4 linked regions of the Schizosaccharomyces pombe genome follow. The gene in region 3 interacts genetically with the main gene of each other region. Each region holds a gene or a part of one and is shown on either strand. Other genes may lie near its edges. The genes, in order: msa1, dus3, cyb502 and erg31.

Region 1 (6,536 bases), on a different chromosome or scaffold from region 3:
TTTGTTAAGCAGTAAATAATAACTGGTTTCCCTGGTATAAGACATAGTATAAGAACGAGAAGAAATAAATCATATATGGTATTTTTTTTGTTTGGTTTAGTAATGAAGTTCTTTTTTTTTAAAATGGCCCAGTAATAAAAAAGTTCACGAAGAACGTAGTTAGAAAGCTTGATAAATAAATTAAATGAAATCTATGCTCTTTAGAAAGTTCTATGATCTGGCTTGGAGAAGAGTAGTACATAACAGTATGGTAATGTAGTTAGAGCTTCTCTTAACATGCGTACGTTTTCATACCTCTTAATAGTAGGGATGGTTCAGTTCATACAGCTACCTAGTTCACCCCATCAATCAATCAATCAATCGATACAGTCACTCTTCAAAGCATTTTGAGAGTTCTCCCACAGATTTTATGCTAGCTGGAGTTCCGACTTGTTTATTAAAGTAGGAAGGTTGGAAGCGAACCATATCTAACAAACTTTTTTCAAAACGAAAATTAAAAGCAAATTAAACTTTCATTGTCTTACGTCCCATGTTAGGGGGGGGAAGCAGCTAAACAATGATGATTTATAGATGGTTGCCTCGGCTATTATTTACTTTGTTTCATATCTGAAAGAAGAGTAAGGGATAGGATACGCCAAAGATCCACCATAAAACGGTTTATCAACAAAAGGATCATCATCGAATTTGGTTTATGAGTCTTTCAAATGTACTCGTGTTTGTTAGTTTAACATACTATTGCATCCACTAGAGATAGTTAAGAGAAGCTGATTTACAAATGATCGGTTTCGACATGTCTGCCAAGTTATACTTTTAACGTATTACCAAGAAAAAAAAATTTACGGGACGGGGATTCCATTCTTGCTGCTTTGGTTTATACTGTAAGCATAACAGCAATCTTAAATTGAATCGTCTTTGCCAAGCGCATTTGTAAGAGTATTGTATGCTATGCCACGCAGTGCATTTTCATATCCAACGCTACATACAATTTGTTGTTACTCTTTCTGTAGACCATTTCGGAACGTTGATTGAAGATCGGAAAATTTAATGTTTCGTCCAGAAATTGTCTGCATATGTAGTATCACAGAGAGTGTCAAGTCATATCTGACAGCATCAGGTTAATGAGCTTAATTTGGGCCAAAGGCGAGCTAGAAAAGAAGAAGAAAAAAAGAAAAAGTAAACAGTAAAGAAAAACATATAACGACTCTTATTCATCCTTCCTCAGCATTCCCTTTTTCATATTTTTATCCCATTCTAATCCTAGTCTAAGAAATGCTGGCGATATAGACCGAGTCTACTGGTGTCTGGAAAGGAACATAGCTATATCTATATATAGATATAGATATAGATATGTATGTATGCTTGTATTTCGTTGGCAGTTTTCTAGTTTAACTAGCAAAATACAAGAATTAAAATTAGTATTAGTATTATTATTATTATTTTTAAACATTTAAACATCGACTAATTTTTTCAACATCTGTTTTCACTTTCAAGTATCGACTACTTTCTACATTCCAACGATCCATTCTTTATTATAGATTCACCCTTTTCCTCGATAAATAAGCACCATTACACATACTTAAAATTTTTGTTTCAAAGGGAAGCTAAACTGTACGACGATGTTTATCGTTATACTCAGCTGTCACTTATCCAGAACTCACTCCATCAGAGTGCGTGCATTTAGCTTGCTCCCTGCACATCCCACTACAAAGTGTTAGAGATAGGCAATCGGAGTTAGAATACCGAGACTTTATTCCAAGGTAAAAACACATCTAGAAATGGGGACAAACAAAGAAACAAAAGGTCATGTGAATGTTAGATTCAAGGGGTAGAGTTCGATATCTCAGCAAGCGATTCCTTTTTTTTTTTTTTTTTTTTTTTTTGAGAAAACCTCGGTACACGCTAAGCTGGCTTTTCCTATTGTTACTCCTTTTACTACTAGTATTATACTATTGCTTTGCTTTGTTGAATAAACAGTCTATAGAACGCTCAAGAAAATACGACGAAAATAGTTTATTCATAGCTTGACAAACTAACTACCTTTGTTTTGTTTTGTTTTTTTCTTTTCTTTTTTTTTTCGTTTCTTAGCTTGGCTATAGCTTGCGTATTCTGTCTTTGTCAGTCATTAATCCAGACAGTAATATAACATATTCACCTTGTTCTTTTAAAGGTCTCCCTTTTTTTCTTTGTTGCTCATCTAGATTGTGCTTAATTTTTTTTTTGTATACTAATCAAAATTCAATTTATTTTTCTTTAGTTATTTATTTGTTTTTTTTTTCGCTTTATTGGATCCTATTGTAAAAAATCATCTTTTTCATTGTGCTTGCAATTTACCTTTCTTTGACGATTACGCCTTTGTTCACGACTTTTAGCATTCTTCCTTTTTCTATCTCCATGGGGCCGTTGTTAACTTACTCCTAAAATTTGTAGTTGCTTATCTTCACAACCAAAGGATGCTTCGGTGCAGCACCCAATTTTTAGCCCATTACCCTGTGCCCAATTCTCAATGTCTCATCATTTGTCAATACTAGCTTGTTCCTTATACTCCCTGTAACCCACTATCTAAGACATTGTGGAGAGGGAAATGTTGGCAGTAGTGATATACTTCCGAATGGACAATTGCCTATCAATCGTGGTAAAGGAGAATGGCTAGAATTTAGTAAAATGATATGGCCCAAATAGAACGGTAAAATTACTAAAAGATTGAGGATTTGAGGCAGCGTCTTGGTCGTTTGACTAATTATTAGAGTGTAAGCAGGATTCGGATGTATTGCTCCTTTAGTTAATCATATCGTCTGGTTTTGCTCCCTAATGTCCCTTGTCCTCTTTTATGCCGCCTACATTACCGATGAAGAACACGTGTTGAAATCCCCGAGTTTGCAAGTAGTCTTGATATACAATGTCTTTTCCTCGTATATTCCGAGCAGATCTAAACCTTCGTCGTGAATAACCCCCTTCTTTGCTTTCACCTAAATCAATTGCTATTCGAGGGTTTTCGATTCTCTCCTTTCTCCATTAACATACTAAATTCAATTTCTCTTTGTGTGGGTTGCTTCCTTTTTGCTGAGACGTCTCCCCGTCTTCCATCCTGTCTTTATCAGTTTTGTTGCATTTCTGATCACCCATTTTTTCTTTTTTTCCTTTTCTTTTGTTATCTATCGAATACCTCCACATTGCTTGAAATACTAGTGAGACTGCGTTTACCTTCTCTTCTCATCTGATTCTGTCTGTGCCATTGAGCTTTCCTTCGCTCTCCTCTTGCACCTTTTGTTGCGTTTACTGGCTTCTTTATTTTTATTTGTTTTCTTTTTCACCTCAAACTTTCTCTGTGTTCAGCTTTTCGAGATATTCAACTGCAATTGTACTGCTCTTTGATTCTTTCACCTTTTTCAATTCGAACTTGCTACTCCCTCAAGCTTATCCAATTATTTTTTAGCTTCCACTTGAGAAGAGTTCTCTCTATCCATCACCCAAAAACTGAAATTTCATCTTTGTGAAATTTCTTTCACGGTCTGATCACCGTGCAAGCTATTTCTATTCCCCATTTTACTTTTCTCATCATCTGACTCTTATTCTGGAAATACTCGTTTCCCCCACTCAAATATATATTTATTCTTTGGGCTTTCCTTAGACTATTGTTAGACTGCAAAGTCTCGTTTGGTTTACCTACTGTCTATCTCTGGTTTTGGTTTTTCATTTTCCATTTCTGTTTCAGCTGGTTTCTCAAAATCTTCATCCTTTCTTTCTTTCTTTCTTTTGACTCGTCATTTTTAAGAGCCATTCCATTTCTTTCTTATTTATACGTGTATAATCTCTATTTTATCTTTGCATTTTTGCACTAAATTACCATACGCTTGCGTTTTTTTCTTTCCCTATTTCTGCAATTTTATTACCTGAGTAAAAGTTTTCCCATTCGTTTTTTCCTATCCCTTCTTTGATCAATTTTATTTATCTTTTCTTTTGACCAAATTTTTTCTCTGGGGTTTTTTTTAAACTTTGTTTTGAAGGAAATTTTAAATTAATTAACTTTTAACTTTTTCAGTTGAAATACTTTTCATTCTTTTTTCTACGCAGCTTTTGGATTGCTGTTGACACATCATCTCATAACTATCTATTGTATTCCATATAATCGACTGATACGACCTCCATCCCACTTTGGCGCAGGCATCTCGTATAAAGTTTTGTCTTTTTAATTTGATATCAATCCGGCATCCTTGTTTCATGCCCCTTTATAGATCCTTTCTCATTCCAAACTTTTTTTTTAAACACATTATTTAAAAATGGTTGTTTCCTCTCCGTCTGTATCTTTATTGCATTCTCCTGTCGAAAAATTATCAGCCCAACTCGAAAAAACAACGCTTTTACAAGACATTCCCCCAGGTTCTTTATCCGAAAATGATAATTCCACTACCTTTATAAAGCCTCCTTTGGAAACTGCATCATCAAGCACCCCTATCCCAAGTTCCTCTTCCAGTGGAGTATTAAATCCGTCGTCTGTCCGTGGAAAACCAGTTGCCTGTTTATTTGTTGCTAGCTTAAACTCTTCAAGGTCTGAGGAAGAGCTGACTGCCACTGTTAAAGATTACTTTCAACAGTGGGGTCCTTTGTTGCATGTCAAAGTTTTGAAAGATTGGTTGCAAAGGCCTTATTCTTTTGTTCAATTTCAAAATACTGATGATGCATCGAAAGCACTTTCTGAAGCCCAAAACACGATATTGGATGGCCGTCATATACGTATAGAGCGCGCCAAAGTTAATAGGACAATCCGTATATCCTCTGCACCCCATCAACCTTACATTACAAAAAAAGACATAGATAACTTATTGGAACCTTATGGCGAGGTTGAAGATGTCACGGAAATACCAGATCAATCCGCTTTCTTAGTACGGTTTGTTTACAGGGATGAAGCAATCGCAGCCTATACCGCGCTTAAGCATTCTGCCTGGCCTGTACTTTGGGCGGAAAATGTGACATATCAAAACGGTCACTATAAGAAGAAAGGTTCCTCCCCGTTTTCTCCACCTAACGCACATAGTCGAAGGCGAAAGTCGCAAGGCAAAGATCAGTCGAACACTCCTGTTATCAAAGCACCTGCCCCTATTCCATTCTCAGTTTCTTCCGATCCTCCTTCTACCATGGGAAGATCAAATTCCGCGGTTCAAAGTCCCTCATACTTTGCTCACTCATTGGTCAATTCTACTGAATTCAGTACTCCTAATGAATCTTTAAGCTCCTTACCGAGTATATTACCTTCAATACCCTCTTTAGAAAGCGGCAAGGCCGAACTCCCAACAGATGGTTCTTTTGAACAGCCTGGATATCCCATGAACCCCTCTATGATGTTTGCTGCAATGCCTCCACCGATTGATCCTTATTCTATATTCGTTGGCCAACTCGACCCAGTAAATTGCACACACTACTTACTAGTTGATCTATTTTCCAAATATGGAAAGGTAATCGATTGTAAAATAATTCATCAAAGCAAGAAGCCTGCTTTTGCTTTTCTAAGGTTTGATTCTCAACAAGCCGCTTATGCTGCCGTCTGCGGTAAGACGAGGTCCCCACACCAGAAAAAGCCTTTGCGTGTTGAATTTCGTCAACTAAGACCAATGCAGCAATTTTCCCCTCAATATCAATATCCCTCCTATCCATATCCGATGTTTCCAGCGCCATTTTCACCACCTCGTAATGCAATGATGCCAATCCCTGCACCCATGGATCAGTTTTCAACATTTCACCAGTCAATGGCTACCCTTCCTCCTGGTGCCGTTCCCACATCAATTCCTCAGTCGTACTATCCCATTTATTCTCCAGAAATGGCTATGCCTCAATCGTACAGTCCGATGTATTATACGCATAACCCACCTATGGATGGGAATTAGATTTATTTTGAATTTCCCTTCATTATCTGATTGAGGTTTCACTTCTTTATACAGTCCTTAAGTGTCGGAGTTTTTTTTATTAGGTACATATTCTATAAAACACTAATAATTATCTAATTTATTTTACTTAAAAGATGCAAATTGGCTGCAATTATATTTAAAAGATTTAGAGTCATAAATGTTATTATGTTCATATATATGTCTTCTATATAATTTTACGAATTAGTGTAACTCGTAACAGTTCTCTACTTTACGCATTAACGATATAATGATATTAGATAGAAGTTTATTTATATATGCTCCCAAATATAGATGTTCTCACACATGTATCGTATACACTCTAACCATTTGATTATTTTCACTACATAAATTTTTACAAAAATACTATATAAAGTCAATTCATTTTATGAAATTTTTAATTTGAGGCTGTAATATTACGTGAACTTTTTATTTTGGCTTACTGGCGAACTGAAAAAAGAAAATTAGTTTTTTTTTTAACAGACCTCTATTTCATAGCTTTAGACTTTCTCAAAACACTAGTTTCATATAAATATTCCTTATAGACACTAAATACAAAAAAAGGTTCGTGAGGTAAAGAACCAGAAAAAGAAAAAAATTATAAAGACAGGACAAGCATAAGTTTACAAGGGACTATTA
Region 2 (4,419 bases), on a different chromosome or scaffold from region 3:
AAATCCTTCAAAGCATCTAAACGACCCTCTTTATCAAACACTTCAGCTAAGTACGAAGCAGCGAAAGGTTGGGTAAAAACACCAGCTGCCGGTGGCGTCTTCAGTTTAGAAGACCTAGGATGAGGTGCAGAATCACTCCCAAAGAAAAACTTGGGATTTTTACTGGTAGCAGCTTCAATAAGAGCACGTCGGTCTCGTTCGGTTTTGGCTACCGGCTTGCAGAAACAATAAGGATCATCCTGCCAATCTTTTTGTGTGAGATAAAGATGATGGGCAGTTATAGTACCCGCAACACTTTCACCGCATGCTTTTACTGCCTCAACAGCGTCGGCAGTGGTGCAATGTTCAAGCACAATCTTGAGTTTTGGAAATCTTTGGTGAAGGTCTAGTAAAGTAGGAAGAAACTTGGGCTCAGCCGTAAAAACGGTGTTATCCTTAGAGGGGGGAACTTCTCCGTGAATGTTCAGAATCATACCTGTTTCTTGCATTGCAGCAAAGGTAGGATAAAAGGGTTCGTAGCTTTCAACACCACTTTCAGAATTGGTAGTAGCTCCTTTCGGATATGATTTAACTCCTCGAATTCCCTTTTTTGCAGCTTCGTAAATAACCTCAGGTGTAGTTTCCGGTGAGAGATAAAGACTCATTAAATAGGTGGTCTTGGAGTCAAGCTGCTCAATTTCTTTTTTATATTGCAAACAGGCATCAACGGTAGTAATTGGGGGGATTAAATTAGGCTGTTATACGCGTTAAAAAGTTAAACCTTTGTAACCTTCAAATAAATTTTTTGAATAGCACAATACTTATTACATACCATTACATACGCAACAGAGACTCCACCCTCTGCGACCGTTGGAACTACAGCTTTTAACATATTATCTTGCCTTAGATGAACATGCATATCAGCCAAACCAGGTATTTTCAAACTCATCTTGTATAGGTAGTGGGTATTGTCAAGTTGAGTAACTAGAAAGGTGCACTTTATACTTAGTGCTAAATTAAACCAAGAATAAACAATCTTAACAATTGGTAAAAAAATACTACTTAAAATTAGTATGTTTCTTTCAATATAAATTAGTGAGGGTAATATAATTACTTCAAAAAAATTTACTATACCGATAATTCTCCAACTAATTTCAAAGATTTAATTGATCGGAGTTAAACCAAATATTATTTCTTAATTCTTTTTATTAAAGTTCAGATGCCTAATTCTAAACATAAGAATTCACCAACAGCTTAATTATTAGACCACCGTCCTGACTCTTCGGAAGCATAGAGCTACTTGCTTAATCATTGAAGCTCCATTATTAGATCTACCTTAGTATAAAAGAAATCCGAAACGTGTAACTACTAGCATTTCCTGTTTATGTGTAAATATACAGGTACATAATATGAAGAATTATGGTCATCAGTACAAAGCAGTTTAAATTTAACTTAGTAATATCTTGGCATCTGAAGAATATACAACTCAATGAATAGCAGCATCTCAAAAGTGTGCATTCTAAACGTCTTTAAGATTTATACATTTCTAATTTCAATAGACAGTTACAGCCATTGTTACGTTTTACAAAACATAACTGTGTACCTAAAAGCATATAGCGTTAATATTACTATGCAGTTTTAGAGTTTTTTTTTATCTATTAGGCAATATGATTGCTTTTCGAATCTATCATGTAAACCGTTAATTTTGAATATTGCACTGCTACGTCGTATCTTATTTTCACAGACGCGCACAGAATCTAGAGAAAATATGCAGTTTGCATAAAGCAAACTACTAAATTCAAGGGAAATCGGATTTTTGGGTACTTAATGGCAGAATTGGAGACTGGAGCGGTTCCTATTCGGGAAGAGTATGCTTGAACCTCGCTTTCAATAGTCAATTACTAACTATACCTTAGATTTTTGGTGAAACAAGATGGAAATAAAAAACGAAAGCGTAAAGAGAGGGGTCAAAATAAACGGAGAGAAAAAATTCACGTAAAAGAGAACAACGCTCTTTGTCCAGCTATATCTATTGGGAATGAGTGTCCATATAAAGAAAACTGCAAATTCCCACACGATGTGGAGGCTTACCTTGCTACCAAGGCACCTGACATTGGAGACAAATGCCCTATATTCGAGCGGTATGGAGTATGCCCAGCTGGTTTCAAATGTCGCTGGCTAGCGGGCCATGTTGTTATCAATGCAGACGGAAAGTACGAGCTTATAAAAAAACCCGATGGGCAGTTTACGCTTTTTACCGTAAATACTGTTGGAAAAGAGGTACAGAGAAAGCTAAGAACAAAACAGTTAGATCTATCAAAGGCTGAAAGTATTATATCCGCAGTTTTAGGTGAAGAAAAGCCCGACCCTTCTTCAAAAGTATCCAATATTCCTGAGGAAAATAGAGATGCCACTAGTGCTATTTCCGAAGGAAAAGAGACAGAATCTGTTTCACTGGAAGAAACTGGGGTGTTAAAAAATCAAACCGTCTCGGTCAATGTCGATTTAAAAGAAATCTCTTCACAAGCTCGGTCAAACATCGCTTTACCTACTTTACGGCCTCAAGAAAAAAATCTCATTGACTGGCGAGACAGAAAGATTCTAGCTCCTCTTACCACCGTTGGAAATCCACCTTTTCGTCGTCTTTGTGGCTCTCTGGGTGCTGATACGTTTTACTCCGAAATGGCGATGTGTTATCCACTTATGCAAGGTCATCAACCTGAGTGGGCTCTTGTTCGTGGGCTAAACTATGAGCGTGAAATGATGCGAGGTGGTCGTCGTGGTATATTAGGGGTCCAACTAGCTACCGGAAAACTTTGGCAGGCCACTAAAACTGCACAAGTAATAGCTGAACAATGTGATGGCGTTGATTTTCTCGATTTAAATTGCGGTTGCCCTATAGATTTGGTATTTCGTCAAGGCGCCGGTTCTTCTCTTCTCGAGAATCCTGGCAGGTTACTTCGTAATCTCCAAGGTATGGATGCGGTATCTGGCCAAATTCCTGTCACCGTAAAACTTCGTATGGGAAACAAAGACGACCACCCAGTTGTCAAAAATTTAATTGGTAGAATTTTCAACGAAACAAACACTTCAGCTGCTACATTACATGGAAGATCTCGCCAACAGCGATATAGTAAAAACGCAAATTGGGATTATATTGGTGAAATTGCTTCTAAAGTAAAAAGTATGAATGAGAGAATAGATGAACTTCCTGAGGACTCCTTGCGTACCCAACCTCTTTCGCTGATTGGAAATGGAGACTGTTATTCATGGCAGGATTGGTATGATGGTGTTAACAAGGGTGTTGATACTGTGATGATTGCCCGAGGTGCACTCGTTAAGCCATGGATTTTTGAAGAAATTGAAGCTCGTCAGTTTATTGATAAGTCATCAACTCAACGACTCGAAATGTTGGAACAATACTGTAATAATGGTTTAGAGTATTGGGGTTCTGACTCTCAAGGAGTCAATACGACTAGGAGATTTTTCTTGGAGTTTATGAGCTTTTTCCATCGTTATACACCTATAGCTTTGTACGAAGTTCAAAGGCCCAGATTAAATGATAGACCGCCTCTATATACCGCGAGAGATGAGATGGAAACTCTCTTGGCCAGTAATAAAGTTACGGACTGGGTTAAATTGAGTGAGTTCTTCCTAGGTCCTACTCCTGAGCGATTCACCTTTACACCAAAGCACAAAAGCAATAGTGTGGAAGAGGCAGAGGGATAAACAACTTATGGTCTTAGTGTATCGAGCATTCACTTTCTTCATATGCATCATCAACTTTTCATACTTAATACTGGCTTATCATCTGGATTGAATTAAGTAGATTAATAAAATATCTGGTGACTTATATACGAGTGATCTGTGTTTGTCTCGTAAAATGCGCAAATGACTAGGCAAATTGGTAATGAATCTAACGTTATATAGTCAACTTACCCAATGGGAACTAACCAACGATCTTACAGTACTCTACAATTACTATCGAAACTACGTTGTGAAATAACTTAGCAAATATATGGTAAATAACACTGCCATACATATTTATTAACTTAAAAGGTATAATAATAACAGCAAGAGGATATTTGGTACAAAAATAACTTAATACACAATAAAAACCATTAAAAATCCAGAATCCCAAAATGACAAAACAAAAAATTAAAAAACAAAAAAAAAGCAAACAAAACAAACACAGCCATCATGTAGGTAATAAAGTAAGTGCAAAATTAACGGGAATGAATCAAAGGAGACAGGTTCACTTTACAGCTAATTCGATTGTTGTATGCAGATAAATGCAAGCCCGTAAACATCAAGCAAACTCCACACAACATGTCTACCCTTCTCAAACTTAAAAGCAAAGATAGACATAAAAGTATTCAAACTTGAAGATACGAAACTGAGATACAAATCTCATGTTCAAATATTACAAAGGCAAAAAAG
Region 3 (3,124 bases):
CAGACATTAAAACATGAGTTTCCGGTAAGTAAGGAGAGGAAGAAATGCGGGTAAAGCTTAAGTCGTAACGTATTTCACGAAGAATGCGCATACAGTCTTTATGAACAATGGCGAAAACAAAACGCTCAGCCTTCAAGTTCTGGTCTGCAAGAGTTAAATCGAATTGAAAACGGTCAGCAACAGGTAAAACAGAAGACATAACGTTTCCCAGGAGGATTTCAACGATTTGATTAAGAGAGTAGGCTAACAAATCTTGACGAGGAAAAAGCTGAAGTGTTGTATACACATTCTTCACGTTGAGACGTCCAGTAAGATAGGAGCTAAACTCGGTAGGAGAGTCATAAATGATTGGAGAACTGTTAGGACCTGGTCCATATTGTGCAAACTGTTGGCGAAAGCTAGACTGTAAGGAACCATACCAGCGAGAAGCGATTTTTTGGTTTTTCTTCTTTTGCGTGATAAAAGAAAAAACATAAAGGAAAAAACAAGCAAGAATAACAAATTCAAGACGGAAATCTCTCCAATCGACATGCTTGAACATTCCTGGATTCTCCAACTCGGGATTCATATTGTAATCCTCTTCGTATTCATCTTCCTCATCAGCCAGTACTCCTTTAGCTAGTGCAAAAACTAGAAACAAAAGCTTTTTATTAATCATGGTTCCTCCGCTTGTAAATTTACTGACTTTCGTGAAAGAAAAAAGGGCACTGGTTGTACGAAGTGAGATTGAACGTGGTGAAATAAGTAACGAACGAGACAAGCCGGTTCCTAGAGTGGGAAGATTAACTAGTGTATATAGATAGTTTAAAATAAGTCGGTAACCAGAACATGTCGCGATGGTGTAGTTGGGAGCATGACAGACTGAAGATCTGTTGGTCATCGGTTCGATCCCGGTTCGTGACACTTTTTTTGACGTGGAGAAAACACTTTGTACTAGTTATATCCAACATAATTTTGAGGTTTTTTCTTTTTACTTATTTTTATTTTTCTAGTTGCTATATGTGAAGCAAAATTAGATAGCTAACGGATGCTCAAGAATATTGTACTGGCACTTCAGCTTGTTATTGCAAAAGTTACAAAAACAGTCTGCAAAGACAAACAAGCATAGAAGCTCAGTTGGTCTAAATGTATATTACTAGATCGGTTCTGTAATTATTGGTGTTTTATTAGCAATGAATGGTGCTTTCAACTGAATATATCCGACAGAGAAACTATATGGCGTTACAATTTTCAAAGGTAGTAGTTTATCTATTTGGTAAATGATAGTTGTACGAACTGCTACGCATTTACTCAAAATCTTAGTTACATTCATGCGTTCTATATAAAAGAAAGTCATTTTGTACTTGCTTGTTTACGTATACGATCGGTTAATCTCAACAAAGCAAATAAAAGGAAGCTAGTCACCCTGTTGTACTTTATACCTAGGACATATTTTTTTTTTCAAACATGTAACATACCGTTACTGAAGAATGTCATAAGCTTAACGCTAGCTAAATTAAGCTTGTATCAAAGTTGCGAGGGATATTGAGATCTATCGTTATTAGATCATTATAGATAAAAAGATATAAATGAGAAATCCTCCATACCTCAACAATAATTGTTTATTGGTAAAAAAATATTATTCCTATCCACTTTTTGGTTAAGCAGAAAATCTGGCAGAATTTTGTACATGCCGCTTTGCCTATCATTGGCTGCTAAATAAATTCCTTGAGCTCGTTTGTTCGATTATTTACTACTACCACACGATACCCTAACGTGAGATTTTCTCTACTAGCGATATCAAAACTTTCGCAAACTTTTTCCAACTCCCCTCAACACACGATTTTTATTATATAGATTTATTTATCAAGATGTCGGTGAAATACTTTGAACCTGAGGAGATTGTGGAGCACAATAATTCCAAAGACATGTACATGGTCATTAATGGAAAAGTTTACGACGTTAGTAACTTTGCTGATGATCATCCTGGAGGCTTAGATATAATGTTGGACTATGCAGGTAAATAATTCGACAAAACTTTTGTAGAAGTAAACACCATATTATGTTGGAGACTGCTATGCTCAAAAGCGATAGTATACTTTTAATCGCTATCGTTTCATTCATCAGTTCTTCACTTGTGTGCCTTCTTGATTAAAACATTGTATACGGCTTTTTAAACATGTCCACTAACTATTTGTTTTAGGCCAGGACGCCACTAAGGCCTATCAGGACATTGGACACTCTATTGCTGCAGATGAGTTACTAGAAGAGATGTATATTGGTGATTTAAAACCCGGAACTGAGGAGAGACTCAAAGAATTAAAGAAACCTCGTTCATTTGATAATGATACGCCTCCGTAAGAAAATGATTTGTGTACGATGGTTGTTTCATGCTAACAGAACAGATTGCCTCTATTAATCGCATTAATTGTCCTGCCAGCCATAGCAGTAATTGTGTTTGTTAAGCTTAACAAATAAACTTCGAAGGCTTGCCTATTTATTTTCCTAATCTTTATACCTTCTTTTGTTTTTCGCGATGTTAGTATCACTCAATATTATTATGGATAGCAATTGTTTTCAAGGCTTCTAAAGAAACAAAATAAACGTTAACTTAGAAAAATATATTTCTTAAATGTCTTCCTTCAGTAAGAGAGCTCTTAAAAACAATGAGTTCAGCTCGTAACATGTAATTAACTCATGGAGATATTAAACAAACCAAAAAAGTATAACAAAAAGATTTAGCTAATAGTAAAGAGGGAAGTATGTAATCAGAAGTGGAATATAACTAATGGAAAAATTAGTTCTATTGGGCTTATGAAGGACTTCCAGTAATATTCGGTTGGACTTTAGATAAATTGATTACCATCTTTCCTTTGATTTCTTTATCACTCAGCTTAATGTTGTTAATATCATCAATCAAAACACCTAGTTTCCTTATTATAAACTCGGTTTCCTGCTCGGTAGGTTTAGCAACATCGTATTTTGGATCTAAATTCAATGAGTCGATTTGATCTAATACCTCCCTATCGCAATCATTATGTTAATATAGTTTCTACTGTATAAAAAGAATTTATCAAAAGCTTACTCATAAATGTTGTCCCGAGGGTCTCGCTGAGGTGCTTCGGTTCTCAATCGTAAAGAAAAG
Region 4 (4,102 bases), on a different chromosome or scaffold from region 3:
ATAAAAAATGGCAATTTTGCCAGAATTTATAAGCCAAACTCCTCCGGTTACGAGGTAAGAAATGAAATATTGAGAGTACACGCTAATTTTTATGCAGATACATCGTACTTGGAACCCTATTTACAACATTGGCAGTGGTATGTTTACTCAAATTTTTCATAAATGGTATCGCTTACAAATATAGAATTTTGGTTATGTATCCGATCTTAAGATATTTTTTAATTGGAAACTGTTTTTAGCAAAAGGGGAGGTACGGTTTGTGATTGAAGTAATGTTTGACATAACATGTGATTTCCCTAATTCTAGCTTGTTAACAAGATTTATTTAGTACTGGAGGGCAATAACTACATTCCTTTATGTTGGGCCTTTTGGATTAGAGTTGATTTTATATTTGTCGTTTCTACTTCGTTTCATGAGTATGTTAGAAAGATCTAGTCCGCCGCCTCAAACACAGAGCTTCTTAAAAACGGTATTGATAGTATGGTTTTCTCTTTTAGTTACCTCCTATTTTTCCTACATGCCATTTGCAGCTTCTTACTTTTCATTTACCATGTTATACATATGGTCGTGGAAACATCCACTGTACAGAATCTCGATACTAGGTCTTTTCGACGTAAAAGCACCTTATGTTCCATGGGTAATGGTATTATTGCGCTGGTTACGAACTGGGATCTTTCCACTGCTTGATTTAATTAGTGCTTTGATTGGACATGTATACTTCTTCGTTACAGATTTTTCTACAGTATGACGCCTGAAGAGAATAAGAAAAGAAAAAAAAGTAAATAAATACCACACTTGTTTTCTGATTGACTGCTGCCTATTGATTCCTTTTCTATCTTTACAAGTCGATTTCTATTGAGCTTGTGAAAGACTAGGGATGGCGAATAGTCACTGTCTTTTGTTTATCTAAAATGTTAGATGAATGATTTCCCTAATCAAGGGCACGAATAATATTACGAAAATTTCAGGAATTCGCAGGCGTTTCCTGGTTTGCCAAGCCATTCGAGCTTTTCTTGTTATTTCTTAAAACTAAGTAATAAATGTTTTATCTCATTAGTTTTTTTTTTTTTTTTTTTTTTTTTTTTTTTAAAAAAAAAATTGGGCTACAAGCTACTATTTGTATGTTTACTTTATGCGCGAGCAACATTATGATTTCTGAATAATCGCTATTTCCATTTTAAAAGTGTTGTATTTAAGATATAATGAAAATGTAAAGTATGTAAATTATATACTATATTATATGCGAGTATTTCAACATGGGCATGTGGTGTAGATGGTTATCACGCTTCCTTAGCATGGAAGAGGTCCCAGATTCGAGTTCTGGCTTGTCCAAAATTTTTGTTTTTAAATAATTTTATTATTTTACTTTATTTATTTTTTTTTTTTTTTAAACGACTATGTTCTAACTGCGTATTTATCGTCTTAAAACATCAGCAACATATTGCATACTCTTGAGAAATACCATTATCGTTCCTAGACTTACAAATGCAAGTGGATTAAAAAGAACAAAATGGGGGTACCAAATTAGTCCAAGTCTAAGAATAGCAATCTAGCGTAACCTCTAAGCCTTTGAGAACAAACCCGAGATGGAGGAATGTTAACCTTCTTTTTTCAATTTTTTATCTTTCTTATTTAATTTTTCATCTCATTTACTTATAATAGTTTTAAGATTAGATCTTGTATCGTAAAGTTGATTATTTTCGACTAATATATACCCACTTGCTCGATATCAAACATTCATGTCCAACCTCGTTGTACTTGTTGAATAGCGAGCCCCCGTAGTACTATTCCCCCACATAGTAAGTGTAAGAGATTCTTCCCGCCACAGTGATGTCCTTTCCGATCTGCCCTATCTACCTCTCACTAACCGAAGTGTATAAGCCACCTCTTTGTTTTTTGATAAAAACTTTAACGAAAAAGATAACTCGGTTTCCTATTGACTAATTAATAGCAGCCAACTAGATATCGCAATCAAAATCAGACCATTTTTTGGTACTTCTTATACGCTACCACCGGTCAATAGATTTTAAGCAAACACCTCAATGGACTACCTACTCAACTATGCTGACCAATATGCGCTGGATTCGATATACAATGCTGTATATCCATTAGCTCGCGACAATATCGTTAGACAGTCGATCAGTTTGTTTTTTTTAACTTGGTTTGGCGGTATGTTCTTGTATTTAACATTTGCGTCGCTTTCCTACCAATTTGTGTTTGATAAAAGTCTGATGGATCACCCAAAGTTCTTAAAAAACCAGGTGTTCATGGAAGTTCTAACGGCTTTACAAAACTTACCTGGTATGGCGTTATTGACGGTTCCGTGGTTTTTGGCTGAGTTGCATGGGTACAGCTACTTATACGACAACATCAGTGATTACGGTTTAAAATACTTCTTATGTTCCTTACCTCTTTTTGTCATGTTCTCAGATTTTGGCATTTACTGGGCTCATCGTTTCCTTCATCACCGTTATGTATACCCTCGTCTTCACAAACTCCATCATAAGTGGATTATCTGCACTCCATATGCATCCCATGCTTTCAAATCCGCTGATGGCTTCTTACAATCTCTTCCTTACCATCTTTTCCCCTTTTTCTTTCCCCTTCACAAGTTGACCTACTTGGCTCTTTTCACCTTTGTCAACTTCTGGTCCATCATGATTCACGATGGTAAATACATCTCCAACAACCCCATCATCAATGGTGCTGCTCACCATAATGGCCATCACATTTATTTCAACTACAATTACGGCCAATTCACCACCCTCTTTGATCGCCTCGGCAACTCTTTCCGGGCCCCCGATGAGGCATGGTTTGACAAAGATCTTCGCCAAAACGAGGATGTTCTTCGTGTCGAATTGATGGAGTACGAGGCTATTCGTAATGAAGTTGAAGGTGATGATGATAGAGAATACATCGCTAACTCTGCTAAGAAGAACCATTAAACAACATATCTAGACTCAGAAGAGTTTGTCTCTGAAAAGATTTTACTTTTTTTTTTCGTTTTCATCATTCCCATTTCATTTTTCCCCGTTGGTTTTACTCTTTTGGTCACGTATTTCTATTTCTATGGTTGGTATTACATGCATTATTTACCCGCTCTACCTTCAGTTGCTATAAAGGAACAATGTGAGCGATTTTATATATCCTTTGCAAACTTTTTGCTAATTTACATTTCGAGTCTCTTTAGCATTCCCAAGTTTGTTTTTTTTCGGTTTATTCTTTTAGAACGATAAATCCAGAAAATTTGGAAGTCTCGCATCTAGTCATTCACTCCTTTCTTTTCAAATGACTTGTTTTTTTTGCTTTGCAATTTCTTACCACCTCCCTTTTGAAACGTTGTTTGTTCAGTTGGGTTGATTGGTACTATCATCTCACAAATAATTTACTTCAAATACACTCGTTTTTGCTGTTCACGTCGTTGTAGTTGTTTGCTAGTTTCGTATACGAAATGAAAATTTTGCTCTTATCTTTACTTTTCTATTTTGAAATAAAATGAATGTCAAGCTTACACATGTCATCGACACTAATTTTGATTTGCAATAACTAGTAACTATTCGTTTGTAAACCACTGCTAATTAATCAAAAATTACCAGACTCCTTTCCATTTATTGACTTAGTATGTAATTAGATTTACATGTTTTTCTATTTCTATTTACATATTGATATCTAACGTTGCCAGATGATTTCCTAGAATTTTGTACCCTTTTGATGTTTGCTATATCTTAGGTAGTATTGAATCATAATATTACTTCGCCTCACCAGCTTCTTTCATGTAGTCTACGAAGCAAAAACTTAGTAATGACTCTACCAAAAGAATTTTTAATGAGGACAAAAAAATGAATTAAACAATAATAAAAACAAAACATTCTTTTGAAACCTAACCATAAAATATTAATTGAATCAATCACAAACATTTTACTAGTATAAGAATTATGATATATATGTATATATGAGATTCTGCAGTATACTTTCCAGAATGAAAGAATTACCGATTACATTTCTCATCCAATTAAAGTTTTAAAGTCGCTGAAAAACTTTCAGCAAACTAAGATGGTCTACTTATGACTCCTAAAATAACAATTAAGAAAATAATCGTGAT

Evidence for each region.
Region 1: mutations in cyb502 (region 3) and msa1 together harm fitness less than expected from each alone (positive genetic interaction), as found in Schizosaccharomyces pombe (one large-scale study listed by BioGRID).
Region 2: mutations in cyb502 (region 3) and dus3 together harm fitness more than expected from each alone (negative genetic interaction), as found in Schizosaccharomyces pombe (one large-scale study listed by BioGRID).
Region 4: mutations in cyb502 (region 3) and erg31 together harm fitness less than expected from each alone (positive genetic interaction), as found in Schizosaccharomyces pombe (one large-scale study listed by BioGRID).

The regions. Positions count from the first base shown.
Region 1 is NC_003424.3:2,317,981-2,324,516, reverse strand, and holds msa1 (RNA-binding protein Msa1), read left to right. Parts: upstream 1-1,691; 5' UTR 1,692-4,277; coding exon 4,278-5,879; 3' UTR 5,880-6,025; downstream 6,026-6,536. UniProt on the Schizosaccharomyces pombe protein: Negative regulator of sexual differentiation. Acts by repressing the transcription of meiosis-inducing, ste11-regulated genes.
Region 2 is NC_003424.3:4,427,878-4,432,296, forward strand, and holds dus3 (tRNA dihydrouridine synthase Dus3), read left to right. Parts: upstream 1-1,758; 5' UTR 1,759-1,806; coding exon 1,807-1,847; exon of another isoform or gene 1,848-1,895; coding exon 1,896-3,708; 3' UTR 3,709-3,864; downstream 3,865-4,419. Other genes in the region: dihydroorotase Ura2, read right to left, coding at 1-734, 812-928. UniProt on the Schizosaccharomyces pombe protein: Catalyzes the synthesis of dihydrouridine, a modified base, in various RNAs, such as tRNAs and mRNAs. Modifies the uridine in position 47 (U47) in the D-loop of tRNAs. Also able to mediate formation of dihydrouridine outside of the D-loop of tRNAs.
Region 3 is NC_003423.3:2,574,155-2,577,278, reverse strand, and holds cyb502 (cytochrome b5), read left to right. Parts: upstream 1-1,813; 5' UTR 1,814-1,850; coding exon 1,851-1,998; exon of another isoform or gene 1,999-2,182; coding exon 2,183-2,336; exon of another isoform or gene 2,337-2,384; coding exon 2,385-2,457; 3' UTR 2,458-2,616; downstream 2,617-3,124. Other genes in the region: SPOM_SPBC2G5.01 (Ca(2+) binding protein), read right to left, coding at 1-658; Ragulator-Rag complex subunit Lam1, read right to left, coding at 2,792-3,002, 3,065-3,124.
Region 4 is NC_003424.3:931,895-935,996, reverse strand, and holds erg31 (C-5 sterol desaturase Erg31), read left to right. Parts: upstream 1-2,028; 5' UTR 2,029-2,042; coding exon 2,043-2,945; 3' UTR 2,946-3,572; downstream 3,573-4,102. Other genes in the region: SPOM_SPAC1687.17C (Der1 family protein), read left to right, coding at 8-54, 98-137, 185-250, 329-748. UniProt on the Schizosaccharomyces pombe protein: C-5 sterol desaturase; part of the third module of ergosterol biosynthesis pathway that includes by the late steps of the pathway. Erg31 and erg32 catalyze the introduction of a C-5 double bond in the B ring to produce 5-dehydroepisterol.